Rattus norvegicus: one gene and its partners. The protein of the gene in region 2 interacts with the protein of the main gene of each other region in a pairwise test. Links are inferred from orthologs where the notes say so. Each region holds a gene or a part of one and is shown on either strand. Other genes may lie near its edges.

What was found. The genes of interacting proteins can lie anywhere in the genome.
Region 1: the proteins of Psma1 (region 2) and Trim10 interact in binary tests that used the Homo sapiens proteins (3 or more experiments, as listed by UniProt). The two-hybrid records come from large-scale screens. The link is inferred for Rattus norvegicus from reciprocal best matches to the Homo sapiens genes PSMA1 and TRIM10.
Region 3: the proteins of Psma1 (region 2) and Mid2 interact in binary tests that used the Homo sapiens proteins (3 or more experiments, as listed by UniProt). The two-hybrid records come from large-scale screens. The link is inferred for Rattus norvegicus from reciprocal best matches to the Homo sapiens genes PSMA1 and MID2.
Region 4: the proteins of Psma1 (region 2) and Vcp interact in binary tests that used the Homo sapiens proteins (3 or more experiments, as listed by UniProt). The two-hybrid records come from large-scale screens. The link is inferred for Rattus norvegicus from reciprocal best matches to the Homo sapiens genes PSMA1 and VCP.

The regions. Positions count from the first base shown.
Region 1 is NC_086038.1:1,697,366-1,700,479, reverse strand, and holds part of Trim10 (tripartite motif-containing protein 10), read left to right. Parts: coding exon 1-96; intron 97-982; coding exon 983-1,005; intron 1,006-1,684; coding exon of another isoform or gene 1,685-1,708; coding exon 1,709-1,824; intron 1,825-2,819; coding exon of another isoform or gene 2,820-2,845; exon of another isoform or gene 2,846-2,888; intron 2,889-3,011; coding exon 3,012-3,044; intron 3,045-3,114. UniProt on the Homo sapiens protein: E3 ligase that plays an essential role in the differentiation and survival of terminal erythroid cells. May directly bind to PTEN and promote its ubiquitination, resulting in its proteasomal degradation and activation of hypertrophic signaling.
Region 2 is NC_086019.1:177,885,055-177,889,228, reverse strand, and holds the start of Psma1 (proteasome subunit alpha type-1), read left to right. Parts: upstream 1-1,371; 5' UTR 1,372-1,459; coding exon 1,460-1,462; exon of another isoform or gene 1,463-1,942; intron 1,943-2,915; coding exon 2,916-2,960; intron 2,961-3,246; coding exon 3,247-3,348; intron 3,349-3,456; coding exon 3,457-3,560; intron 3,561-4,174. UniProt on the Homo sapiens protein: Component of the 20S core proteasome complex involved in the proteolytic degradation of most intracellular proteins. This complex plays numerous essential roles within the cell by associating with different regulatory particles.
Region 3 is NC_086039.1:109,223,810-109,227,326, forward strand, and holds part of Mid2 (probable E3 ubiquitin-protein ligase MID2), read left to right. Parts: intron 1-3,207; coding exon 3,208-3,335; intron 3,336-3,517. UniProt on the Homo sapiens protein: E3 ubiquitin ligase that plays a role in microtubule stabilization. Mediates the 'Lys-48'-linked polyubiquitination of LRRK2 to drive its localization to microtubules and its proteasomal degradation in neurons.
Region 4 is NC_086023.1:62,008,381-62,011,897, forward strand, and holds part of Vcp (transitional endoplasmic reticulum ATPase), read right to left. Parts: coding exon 3,434-3,517; intron 3,354-3,433; coding exon 3,218-3,353; intron 2,473-3,217; coding exon 2,360-2,472; intron 1,880-2,359; coding exon 1,715-1,879; intron 1,613-1,714; coding exon 1,490-1,612; intron 906-1,489; coding exon 693-905; intron 498-692; coding exon 189-497; intron 28-188; coding exon 1-27. UniProt on the Homo sapiens protein: Necessary for the fragmentation of Golgi stacks during mitosis and for their reassembly after mitosis. Involved in the formation of the transitional endoplasmic reticulum (tER).

The DNA.
Region 1 (3,114 bases), on a different chromosome or scaffold from region 2:
TTTGATTCCCTGGCCACGAGGGAGATCTGCCGGTTCAGCACCCTGATCGAGGAGCTGGAGGAGAAGAATGAGCGGCCAGCCAGGGGGCTCCTGACGGTGAGGCCTGGCCTACCCTCACCCCTAGGGTCTCTGGAATCATTACCTAGTCGGTACCTCCTTTACATACATGTCTCTGCATCCCGGACGGATATGGAACACGGAACAGGGGGTTGAACTCTAGGCTATGCTTCCCCAAGAGATGCCTGGTCACTGTGCTCTCTGGTCTTGGTCTTTCTTTCCTGCCATCCGTAGACACGAGGATATGGCGGTATAAAAAGGTGGAAGCTGCTCTTGAGAAGTATCGAGTGCTCGCTTCGGCAGCACATATACTAAAATTGGAACGATACAGAGAGAGAAGTATCGAGCAGCGTGCCGACAACTGCCAGGTGCTGCTCCCAAAGCAACATTGTAATAACTTGAACGTCCCCCTCTGCTGGCCAGAAAGTTCTTCCAAGACTGTCTTACTTCCTTGAACCTGAAGAGAAGAGTTATTGGGGTCCTGGAAGCAGGATTTAGGGAGATGTACTGGGTCCTGGGATATAAGACACCTTGGTGTAGGACTTGCTTACTTTTGCCTATAGCAAGAAGTAGGTCATATCACCAAGTCTGTCCATGAAGCAAAGGAGCCAGGTGCTGGTTTCTGGTCCTCATATCCAAGGATGGGAATACAGTACTTTGTATTTTATGGTCGAGACAAAAGTGGGAGAGAAAAAAACAGAACCTAATCTCTCTCTCTCTCTCTCTCTCTCTCTCTCTCTCTCTCTCTCTCCCTCCCTCCCTCCCTCCCCCTCTCCCCCTCTCTTCCCCCTTCCTCTCCCTCTTCTTCCCCCTCTCCCTCCCCCTCCCCCTTCCCCTATCCCCCTCTCTGTCCCTCTCCCTCTCCTTCTCCCTCCCTTTTCCCCTCCCTCCCTTCCTCCTTTCTTTTCCTCCTTCCTTCTTCCAGGATATCAGAAGCACTCTAATAAGGTTAGTGATAGTGTCTATTCCTTTTTTCCCCTGTAGACATCCATCCGTACACTACCCACCTAGTTATTGCCATGCAGATAAACCACACTCTCAATTTAATGTACAGCCGTGTATAAATCTACAAATGCTCAAATGTGTTCTCAGATACTGCCATAGATCTACCCACTTTTGCAGCAGTGGGGTCCGTCTGAGAGGATCCAAGTCTCTGTGTGGGAAGTCACTCCTCCAGGCCTTGTTAGAAGAAGATGGCCGTCTAGGGACCTCATTAAAAGAGAATAGTTCTGGGGCTGGAGAGATGGCTCAGTGGTTAAGAGCACTTGTTGCTCTTGCAAGGGGCCCAGGACTCAGTTCCCAGAACCCATACAATAGTTCATACCTAGTAGATCCTATACCCTCTTCTGTTCTCCATGAACACTGTATACATGTGATATACATACATGCTGGTAAAATACCCATACACATAAAATTAAATATTTTTTTAAAAGATTTATTTTTTAATTTAAGGTTGTTTTTTTTTTTCGGAGCTGGGGACTGAACCCAGGGCCTTGTGCTTGCTAGGCAAGCGCTCTACCACTGAGCCAAATCCCCAACCCCTTAAGTACGTTTTTAATTTTGCACTTTAAATTTTTGCTTAATTTAAAAAATTAAATATTTTTAAAAGATCTTTTAAAATTCCCAGACTCTGCCATTTCTGTGCCCCTAGATGTGAAACCAGAAAGGGCCGGAAACCTGAGGCTATATCCCCAGGACTGGGCCAAAGGATCCGGGACTTCCCCCAACAGGTCATGCCCCTGCGGCAGGAGATGAAGATATTTCTGGGTAAGGAGACCACAACCTGGGCTTAGGAACGGCCTCCTGCCTTCCCTGCCAAATGATTGTACTATGTGTTTTTTAGCACATCTCATTTCCTTCCGTACCTTGACTTTCTTATTTGCCAAGTCCGATAAAAATCTTAACTCTCGGGATTATGCGGCGGCGAAGAGACATAATAAAAGTGAGGACTTGGGAGTTGGGAATCAACCTATTAAACAAATCTGACCAGTTGACATGACGTAGTTGAGGAAATAATGGTTAACAACATCCATGACCCTACATCATCAAGGGTTCTCAGTAGCAGGTGTAATGCATTGTGTGTTTTAATGGTTACCTTTGTTAACTACAGCTGGTGGCAGTGATTGCCTCACCGTGGACGTTGATTCTTCCTTCTTCCTTTGCTTCCTGTCGCTGGTTTTTTTTTTTTTCACTCCTGAAAGTTGAACCCAGGGCTCCTGTATAGTAGTCAAATGCTCTACGATGGACTACGTGCCCTGGCTTTCCCTCTACTTTTTCTTTTTGTTGGAATGGCTGTCTAAACTGAGACACCCTTATAGGGACTGAGTCACACTCCCTTCCCAGAAGAGGGAGTCATCATGGCAGCCAGCCAAGAAAGTTCGAAATGTTGTGGCTTTCTGCTCCCTTCCAATGGTGAAATCGAGAACAATGTCACATATTTCTAAAGTTCACGCCCACAAAAAAAGTTCCCCTGGGAGGACATTTCTGGAGCCCTGCTTCCTCCAAGAACTCACAGTAGAGGAACTAGACGGTAGAGGAAGTTTTACTCTAATCAAAGGCTGACTATTGACTGTCCTAACCACTATTTCCAAGTGGAAGAAAAAAGGTGAACCTAATTATCTATTCCCTACGTATACGTGTATGAAAATAGAAGGCAGGACAGCCATAGTCCCTGTCTGCTCAGAGGTGGGGTAGCAGGTTTCTCCCTGAGTTCTAGGCCAGGGGCATCCGTAACCCCTTGTGAGACATCTGTGTCTCTGCAGCCCTGCCCCAGGGTGTCTGGATTTGAAATCGCAGTGATTGTTCTAAGAGGACCGGATGTAAGCAAACTTGTAAGTGCTGGTCTAGACAATTGCACCGCCATTCTTCTCTCTCTTCCTTCCCTCCCTGCCACTGGGTCTTCTGCGGTTTTGAGATCAATGAAATCTCATCTTGTCCTTATTTCCTCCTCACAGAAAAACTCTGCTTTGAGTTGGACTATGAGCCAGGTAAGCGACCCTGCATTAGGATGGGGAGAATGTTTTTTTTAAAGTCCTGAGAAAGAGAAACCACGTTTCT
Region 2 (4,174 bases):
ATTTGGGTGCTTTAAAAAAACTATTTTATGTATATGAGTGTTTTACCTATGTAGAAGCACAACATGTATGCACAAGTGTCGCTGAAACCAGAAGAAGCCAGATCCCCTAGAGTTACAGATGGTTGTAAATGGCACTCTGCAGTCGGTTCCCCAACTATTTTAAAATCAGCATTTAATTACCCATTCATTCAAAATCCATTGTTCATTCAGCAATACAAATTATTTACCTAATATGTGTTAGGCACTGTGCTGGTGCTGGGCAAACAAAACAGCCCTATCTATCAATTTAAAGTTCAATCCCAGAATCCACACAGTGCAAGGAGATAATCACCAACATTGTCTTCAGACTTTCACATAAGTGTATGCAGGGACACAAACACACAAAAAACATATGTAAAAACAAAAAATGTACATATATACACATACATAAAGATATTTAGAATGTGATACTAATTACTGTGAACAGAGACATTTAAGTGATGTGTTACTCCTCCTTTGAAGTTCAGATCCTTAAAGACCTGACTCTATTCTTCAACAGAACTGGCAGTCTGTAGATGTTAGGTAGATCAGTGAGCACAGAACTGTCTTGATTTCGTTTGGGGATAAATCAAAAGATGCTCTTTAAAAATCCGTAAGAAAACTCGCACCTTCCCCCTAGTGGCCTAATCTATCATATATGGCATTTGGTTGTGGACAGCGAAAATCAAATATCAGAACAGAAACCTGGTCCTACAATGGCAACTAATGATCACAAAATGAGTAATACGACCACGAGACACCAAGGAGCCTTTAAGGATGGGCTCGCCAAGTACTCAAGATATTCAGGGGCCAGGACCACAAACGAACGAACACACACACACACACACACACACACACACACACACACACACACACACACGAGAGGGTTTGGGGAGTGGGAAGAGGGACAGGGGGAGAGGGAGAGAGAGAGAGAGAGAGAGAGAGAGAGAGAGAGAGAGAGAGAGAGAGAGAGAGAGAATGAATGGTTCTGTGGCTTTTTCTGCAACCTCTTTCAGTCGTGCTGCTTCCCAAACCTCTGGGCACTGTGATGAAATCTATGCGGGTCCGCCACACCATCCCTAGCTGGGGGCGATGTTCAGTGGAGTGGACCGAGAGTTGGCGGGAATCTGCAATCCACTGGGGGGGGAGGGGGGAAACACGGAAACACAGCGCTTGACATGGAACCACGCCCCCAACCCTCTCTGCGCACAGGCATTCCCGGGTTTCCCACCAATCCCATTTTATCTGCTTTCGCAGGCCCCGCCCACCCAGAGCTGGAGGGCGGGGAAGCGTTAAACGCTGATCCGTGGCTCTGGGATAGACTGCACTTCCTGCGTCGGCGCCGTGAAGACTCCGCAGCCTTCTTTGACGATCACCGAACCGTAGTTGAGGCCGTGTTCCTGTGTCCGCTGCTGTGTCTGGTTGTAACCTCGCCGGAGCTATGGTGTGTTGAGCCCCGAGTCCTCGGAGGGTTTGGGGCTGAGGTCAGCTGACCTGGTCGGGGATCGGCCTCTGTTCCCTGAGGCGCGGGGCGGTGGGAGAGGGAGCTTACCTCACGGACATGCTCCTGCAGTGATTCAGCATCTGCGGCCTGGCCGGCGGGAAGCGATCAGTAACCTAGGCGGCCTATCGCGCAGCTTCTCCACTTTGCATGGGGTCCAGGCGCTTCTTTCTCGGCCAGCCAGTCGTCCTTCCCTCCCAATTTACTTAAGTGGCCTATTCCAAGATGCTGTATGGTCCTTCGTGATCTGCATAGGAGAGAGACTATAGGGGTGAAAGGGTGCATCTGGCATCGTCAGTGCAGACCAGAGCCTGCAGTCAGGTCTTCAGACCAAGTTCATCTTCCTTGTGGGTGTATTTGGCTTTATCCGTCTCATTAGAGTGCCGTAGGGAAAGGCTCCATACAATCATTTTGTTTTGTTACCTAGAGATGAAAGAGAAAGTGATAGAATCAGGTTTACAACGTAGGGCCCTGGGCTGCTTCTGTCGAGTCTGCCATGCAAACTCTTGGTCTTTTTACCCTCATGAATATTATACTCCCAAGGGCCGACAAACTTGCTTTAGTAATGACATTATAGCTATAGTGGTTCTGCCACGGTAGCTATTTGTGGCCACCTTTTTACTGAGAATTCGTGTGTTTGTTCATCCAGTGGTAAAGTACAGGAAGAAAGCTCAAAGCTAAGCCAAACGTAACTTTAATCATACTATAAAGATAAAAAGGTATGTAAAAGACCGGGTGTTGTGGTGCTTGAGTTTAATCCCAGCACTCAGGAGGCAGAGACAGGTAGAATTCGTGAGTTTGAGGCTAGCCTAACTCACAGTGAGTTCCAGGACAGCCAGAGTGTAGAATCCGAGTCGGAAAGAGAGAGAAGGGGGAAAAATATATATAGTTGAGCATGATGGCAGACACCTGTGATCTGAGCACTTGGGAGGCTGAAGCAGGACTTCAGGATCATTCTCCCAGGTATATAGCAAATGAAGGCCAAACTGGGCTGCATGAGACTTTAGCTCTGCTGGAAAATTGTGCTGAGAATTTTCGGAAAAAAGAAGAAACCTTCAAGAGATAGACATTTAAGTCGACTTAAAGAAAAGCCCTTTGCCAAATTATTAGAGCCCTGTGTAAGAGAGTAGTATGAGCAAAGTGTGCATTCTTTAGCACTTGACTGCCCGAGGGAAGTGCTATGGAGAATGGCAGAATATGAAGGTAGGAAGACCCTAGTCCATTCATCCCGACAGCCTGTACATGATTAAGGTAGAATTGCATTGCAAACTGAGCACTCTAATAGTGTCTCAGGAAAGCTGCACTAGCAGAGAGGCTTCAACAATTGAAACACATGTCTTATTGTTAAAATTTGAAAATTGTAATGTTCTCATATTAATCTTTCTTCCACTTTCAGTTTCGCAACCAGTATGACAACGATGTCACTGTTTGGAGCCCTCAGGTAAAATGTTTTATGACCTATTAATGAAGTGACTTTTCATGGCTGGAGTAGGGTCAGAAACCTGTGAGATCATAAACTGGGCTTGGAGGTTCACATTGTAATCTTTTAATTGGTCAGGAGGCCAGAGCCATAGGATCATGGAGTTGGTGGGCAGTTTGAGCAACTTAGTGGAACCCTATTTTAAAAAAGGAAACAAAGCTTGTGAGCTTATGGGCTACAAGCTTAAAGTTAGAATTAAAATTAGTTTATTGGTTTCAAAAAGTGAAAAATATTATTTTGTCTTTAGGGCAGGATTCATCAAATCGAATATGCAATGGAAGCTGTAAAGCAAGGCTCAGCGACAGTCGGCCTGAAGTCGAAGACACATGCAGTGCTGGTCGCGCTGAAGGTGAGTGACATGATGACCCTATCTTCCTCCCTCAGGAGCCAGAGCTATCAAATGTAAATTTCACTGATAAATAATCAACCTCCAAACTAAAATGCTGTGTCTATTTAGAGAGCACAGTCAGAGCTTGCCGCTCACCAGAAGAAAATTCTCCACGTTGACAACCATATTGGTATCTCAATTGCGGGTCTAACTGCTGATGCCAGACTGTTATGGTATGTATGATTATGAAAAATTAAGCATCGCTTTTCGTTTTTAATAGACTATTTTATTAAAAAATACCTAGATAAGATATAGGAAGTCATCTCCCAGAATATTATACTTTTTAATTGTTTATTTGTGTGGGTGTTTTATCTTCATGTATGTATGTCTGCACTAGTGTGTGTCTGGTTTCTTCAGACCTTAGACTCCCCTGGTATTGGGGTAACAGAAGATTATGAGCTTCCATGTGGATACTGGAATTGAACCTGGGACCTCAGGAACCTCTGAGACAGTTAAGCTATCTCTCTAGCCCCCAGAATATTAAAATTTGTAATATTGTAAATACCTTAGTGGGCTTGGGTGTGTAACTAAGTATTTCTATTTCCTTTTTTTTTTTTTTTTTCGGAGCTGGGGACAGAACCCAGGACCCAGGGCCTTGCGCTTCCTAGGCAAGCGCTCTACCACTGAGCTAAATCCCCAACCCCATATTTCCTTTTTTTTTTTTTAAGATTTTATTTATTTTATGCATATGAATACAGCTTCACTGTCCTCAAACATACCAGAAGAGGGCATCGGTTCATTACAGGTGGTTGTGAGCCACCATGTGGTTGCTGGTTGAACTCAGGAC
Region 3 (3,517 bases), on a different chromosome or scaffold from region 2:
AGCCAGAGTTCTTTTCAGAGACCTGCCTGCACTCAAGCAAAGCCAGGGTTCTAGGCTGCAAGCAGAATTTCAGATTGAGTCAGTATGGTGCAGAATTGGAGTTTATTAGGAAGAACGTGTGACACAGATTTGAACTTGGGGTGTTAATAGAAAGAAAAGTGCTCAGGGAACGGATGCGACATGTCCGAGAGTATGAGCATGGGCCTCTCACAGGACATCCCCCTTGAATTCCTTAGCGGTAGCTCAATAGAAGATTTTAGAGGGTTTTGAACTTACACAGTTCAAGGTGTTTTAAAGGGAACACCCTTCCTCTGTCTCTTTTCTTCATTTTGATAAGGAAAGGAATGGGATGGCTGTAGGAACCTTGAGTAAGATTTCACCCTGATCAGGTAAAACCAGGGTCCAAAGGTTACACAAGGGTGTTAAGATGTGCCTTTCCGGGGTTGGGGACTTGGCTCAGTGGTAGAGCGCTTGCCTAGCAAGCGCAAGGCCCTGGGTTCGGTCCCCAGCTCCGAAAAAAAAGAAAAGAAAAAAAAAAAAAGATGTGCCTTTCCTGTAAATGTGGGGATTATTGTGAGATTCCTTAACAGTTGAAGGCTTACAGAAGACAGTCCCTAATTTCCCTGTCCTACTATCCTGCCTCATTACCTCACTTACTGCTTATTCTTAAGTGACTTAAAAATCTGCTGCTAAGGCATTCAAGGAGGATTCTCACTTGAGAAGCTCACACTTCTTCCGCTACAGCTTTAGAACTATTGTTAAAACAGAAATTTATGCTCATTATTCCTCTACTTAAATTGCTCCAGTGTCTCCTGTTCTTATTCTTAGGTTAAAGGCTCGAGTTAAAAACATAGCATGTAATATTTCACATGGTTCTGCCTCTTTCTCCACCCTTTAAGCCTTTGTTAACTGATCATCATGTAGGTCATGGCTTAAGAGTAGCTTCCAGCTGGGCACAGTGGTGCATGCCTTTAATCTTGGTACTGGAGAGGCGGGGGTAGGTGGATCTCTGAGTTTGATGCCAGTCTGGCCTACAGAGTTCCAGGACAGCTCAGACTTCACAGAGAAACCCTGTCTTAAGGCAAGGAACAAACAAACACCAAACCAAACCAAACCCAACCAAAACCAAAACCCAAAATAAAACAGAAACTTGTTCTGGGGAGAGTTGTCTTTGGTCCCATGTTCCTGTGTTTCCCATACCCTCCTTGCATTCCCCATTTAATGTCTCTGTTCGTTCCCCATGACCTCTGAGCTCATTGAACGCGTGGATCACAGTGAACCTGTTTCCTTGAATATCTGTACAATGGAGCACAGTGTAGGGCACCTTAGTTTTGCTTAATAACGTTTGGGTATGTGAATGGATGGATAGGTAGATGAATAAAAGAAAAATATTGGGAAGGCCAGGAAAAAATTATGACCAATTTTTCTGACTTAATATTAAGATTATTATTCATCAAATACTAGAAAAATAGCTCTTCACTGTGAAACCTTAAGATTGTCTTGTGCTGGGCATCTAGTTGTATCCCTTTAATCTTAGCACTAAGGTGGTACTAGAAAAGGACCACAAGCTCAAGGCCATCCTTAAGTACATAGGAAGGTGAAGGCCAGCCTAAAGTACAGCAGATTCTGTTAAAGCAAAAACAACAAGATAAAACAATACCAAAAATAAAATCCAAAACAGTTGTATGCGGTTAACCCCTCATTTATTTTTGCTGTCATGCAATCGATTCTAGAAACATCTATGGTTTCAGAAGTAGGCACAAGCTATTGGTTGTAGATATGTAGTATATGTATTTGCCCAATTGCTCATTGCCTTACAAATGGCTCAGTATAAAAGTTGCTGTTCTGATTTTACTCTACCCCATGCTTCCTCTCTCCACTGGAACCTCCGTAGTGTTTGCAAGATAATGTTTCCTTCCATTTTGCTATCTGTATGCACAAGGAACTTCATTAATTCTGATTCAGAAGGTCTGATACTGGACTAAAATCTGAATATTTTTGTAAAAGTTTCCCCACATAAGTCTAATTAACCATTGGATCATAAGAATTGCTGATGTACATAAAATGTATACTTAAAATTAGGAATAATGTACACGGTTATGGAAACAGAATTTAAGATCAGACAAACGTGGCTTCAATTAAAATTTGACTTTTACTATTGTGTGTGATCTTGGCAGCCTCCTTAGCTTTTAAATGTGCATGCTTCCTTGCTTACAAAATAGAAATAACTTCCACTGTATAACATTGTGGTAGAAGAAAATTAGATACTTTATGCAGATTCTTCATGTTCTTGCACAGAACCTTATATATACTAAGCATTCTATGAACTTTAGTATTATATTGTTTTTGTAAGTCACTCAGTTACTTGTTCAACACATATTTATTCACTATGTGTTCAACATTGTTTTAGGAACCATAGAAGAAGATATAGGAGGTAAAATAGGAACCTATTCCTGTGTCTCTTAAAGTTAGTTGGACAGCCTAAGACTGTAACCCAGTTAGCAGACTGTTTGCATAGCATACACAGAGCCTTAGGTTGAATCCCCAGCACCTCCTAAATGGGACATGGTGGCACATCTCCCTGACCCTCAGGAGACATAAGGAGGCGAAACAGGATTCCAAGGTAATCCTTGGCTGGGTAGCATGTTCAAGGCTAGCCTGGGATATGCAAAACCCTATCTCAAATAAATACATAAATAGGAAAGAGACATTTCGGTGGGAACATAGTTATCACAGTGTTATGCAATTAGAGAATAATGCAATGAAATATGAATATTTTAAAAGATCAAATAATGAATAGTATTAATGGGGAGACACTAACCCAACACGTTGGTTTCTTAGTTAGCACGGAAAAAGGAGACAGAAAGCAATCTGAAGCTGCTCTTCCCAAGCCAGCAGAGGTCTACTTTGATGCTGCCTGCCAGATGGAAAATGATGCAGAGGGGAAAAAATCCTGTATTTACTTCTCAAAATTAAGACAGGATGGCGGAGTGTGTTTGAGGGGCGAACATATGTGTGTAAATATGGTATAACTCTTAATTGGTTCCTTACGATTAAAATGGAAACCGTTTCCGTTGGAAAGGCAGAGATCTGGTATTTTCACTTACAAGTGATTTATTTTTACCTCGTTAAACCAGAAATCAAACACTAGATGAAGGTTGCAAGCTTATTTGGATGTATATTGATGTATTTTTTTTTTCTTTTCAGGGTCGCTATGGCAACTGCATCTTCGCAAGTTCTGATTCCAGACATCAATTTTAATGATGCCTTTGAAAACTTTGCTTTAGATTTTTCTAGAGAAAAGAAACTATTGGAGGGGCTAGACTATTTAACAGGTGTGGAAGAGCTGTGCTTTCCTCCCCCCATTGTATTTATTTATTTTCCTTCTGTACCCATTTGTCTAGAGTAAACTGAAAAGGAAAATATTTGCAATAATGAAAAAAATAACACTTTTCCAGTATGTGTAGTTTTTCAGACAAGATCAAGTGTGCTTCAGGTGGTACGGTTGTAGACCACA
Region 4 (3,517 bases), on a different chromosome or scaffold from region 2:
CTTAGCCAAGAACTCCAAATCCACATCCTAAAGGAAGCACAAGAGTATGTTAGCTGTTAGCACTGTGCCTTCCTCCCACAGAGCACAGGGTCTCTGGACTTTCTATTTTAAACAGACTGGCTTCTGCCTCTGCCACTCCACATCTGCTTAACAGAAAAAGTCCCTATGGCTGACAACTTTGCACTTGCCTTGGCAACTGGGGATTTTCGCAGATTGGCTTTTAGGATGGCAACACGGGACTTCTCATCAGGAAGTGGGATATAAATGAGCTGATCAAGACGGCCAGGTCTTAGGATAGCAGGATCAATGATGTCAGGCCGGTTGGTAGCTCCAATGATAAACACATTCTTTTTTGTGGACATGCCATCCATTTCTGTCAGGATCTGATTGATGACTCGGTCTGCAGCTCCACCACCATCTCCAATATTACCACCACGAGCCTTGGCAATTGAATCTAACTCATCAAAGAAGAGTACACAGGGGGCAGCTTGTCGTGCCTATGAAAAAGAAAAGACCATCTCAAATACTAATATAACTAGATTTCTCATACTTCAGGAAGAAAACAGAGTAATCAGTAATGCCCCAACTGAGCTGCCAGTAATAAAATTTTTTGCGTCTGGAGAAATAACCTCTCATTCCACCTTGCCCCTTGCCATACATACATATGAACATCAGCTAGCCATCTAGCTTACCTTGTCAAATATTTCCCTGACATTGGCCTCAGATTCCCCAAACCACATGGTAAGCAGCTCAGGACCCTTGATGGAGATGAAGTTAGCCTGGCATTCATTAGCAATGGCTTTGGCCAGTAAGGTTTTCCCACAGCCAGGCGGTCCATAGAAAAGAACACCTTTGGAAGGAGTCATGCCAAATTTGAGGAATTTGTCTGGATGCTCCACAGGATACTAGAAGAAAAGCAAAGATAATTTAAGGGCAACCCCATATTTTAAATCAAATCATATCAGAAGCATAGCATCTTTATGATACAAACGTCTAACATCCAAGTTTTTTGTATATAGGCTTCCATGCTACCTAGTCTTATATCAACCTGACACCTAACTTGAGTTATCTGAAAAAAGGGAACCTTGAGAAAATTCTTACATAAAATCTGGCTATAAGGCATTTTCTTCATTAGTTTTTGATGTGGGAAGGCCCCACCCATCGTGGGTGGTCCCACCCCTGGGCTGATGGTTCTGGGTTCTATAAGACAGCTGGCTTTGGAAGCAAGGCCTTAAATAGCACCCCTCCATGGCCTCTGCATCAGCTCCTGCTCTGTTTGATGAACAGCAGTGTGGAACTCTTTCCTCCCTAACTTGCTTTTTGTCATAGTACTTCACTGTAGCAGCAGTAACTTAGGGCAGTTCATTATTATCTAAAACTCTGTAACAGAGTTATACGCTCAATTCTTAGTAAATCAGTCTGAGACCTAAAAGTTGATTATTATATACTGAGGGAATGACCCACCATACTAGAGCAAAACTTAGCCTACCTGAACCAACTCCTGAAGCTCCCGTTTGACATCCTCCAGGCCTCCAATGTCTTCCCAGGTTACTTGTGGCACTTCTACCACAGTTTCCCGAAGTGCTGATGGGTTGCTTTGACTTAAGGCCCACTAAAAAGGGAGTTTGAAAAAGTGGAGATGAGACTTGGGGGCGGGGTCCTCACAACAAAATACATAAACATATTCCTAATTTGGGTGTAATATGGTCCTTACCCGGAAGTCATCCATAGTAACTGCCAGGGAATTCATGACCTCAGCGTCAATGGTCTCATCTTCTAGGTCAATGAGGTCCATTTTTTTCCGGATGGCCTGTAGAGCAGCCTCTGAACACAGGGCTGCCAAGTCAGCACCCACATGACCATGAGTCTCATTGGCTACCTGCAAAGAGAAGATATACTGACCATCCTCAAGATCCAGCTACCTTATCAAGTCAGAAACAGAATCCTGACTCCATCCCATGTTTCATATCTCTGATTCTTCCTGTTTCCTTGAAGAGATATATTATAGCAGACCTTTTACAGGCAGAGGTGTTAAATATTCACACCGGATTGGGGAGCTGAAAATAAAACTGCTCCAACAACTCATACATACAGCAACAACTAAGAAGCACATTCCTGCTCTGAAGTTAAAAACAAAGTCCATCCAGCTTTTTTTTTAGAAAAAAAGAAAAGATACAACGACCTTGCTGTGTAGCCCTAACAAGCCTCAAACTCAGGCTCCTCCTGTCCGTCCTCCCCCCCCCCCCCCGTTCTAGATTACTGATATGAAGCCTCTTTTCTTAGTCTATGCATGTAGTCCCCTGCAACCTCCTACAACAGAGTTATCCTAAATTCTGGCCAGCCATCATCACCACTCCACCTGTTCCAAGTCCACATCATCTGCCAGTTTCATGTTCTTGGTATGGATCTGAAGAATTTCCAAACGTCCTGTAGCATCAGGGATTCCAATATCTACCTCTCTGTCAAAGCGACCTATGGGACAATAAAGGAATGTAAAATAGGAAGTTTCTGGTCCACAGAAGTCACTCCAGAACTCTCTTATTTAAAGTTAGCATTAATGCCTCACAACCTGGAAATCTTTCAGACTTAGGCAAAAAATAGATAGTTACTCTAGAGCAGTGGCTCTCAACCTGGATCTCGACCCCTCTGGGACAGAACAACCACTTAACGGGGGTGGGAGTGGGTGTCACATATCAAATACCCTCTATGACAAATATTTTACATTACAATTCATAACAGTAGCAAAATTACAGCCATGAAGTAGTAACAACTTTATGATTGAAGGTCACTACAACATGAGGAACTATATTAAAGGGTCGCAGCACTAGAAAGGTTGAGGGAGTGCCCTAGAGAGAACACAGAATGGAAAAAAAAAAAAAAAACCTTAGGTCCTGTCATGACAAAGAACTTAAATTCTGAGGATTAAGTAACTTAAAGACATAGGTGAGATAAGGAAATCAAGCCCAACAGACATACCAACAATATACCCTACAATATATCAACAAGTAAGGACAGGCTGGTTTGCACGATGGTGGTGCACAACTTTAATCCCAAGCACTCAGAAGGCAGAGGCAGGTCAATCTCTTGAGTTTGAGGTCAGCCTGGTATTCATAGTTTCAGGACAGCCAGGGCTACACAGAGAAACTCTTGTCTTATATATTAAAAAAAAAAAAAAAAAAAAAAAGGGTGGTGTAGGAAAAAAATTTAAGGTCTTTACCAAATCGCCGTAGGGCTGGGTCAATGCTGTTGGGTCTATTGGTTGCTGCCATAACTATCACATGTGCTCTCTGCTTTAGGCCATCCATAAGGGTCAACAACTGAGACACGATGCGACGCTCCACTTCCCCGTGAGTCTGTAAGACAGTAGTATGTCTGGTCAGAAGCTAGGTCAGGACCTCACAAGTCCTTACCATCCCATTGGGTAGGTTCCTACTTTCTCTCTTTTGGGTGCAATGGCATCAAGCTCGTCGATGAAGATGATGGCAGGAGCATTCTTTTCAGCTTCCTCAAAGGCTTT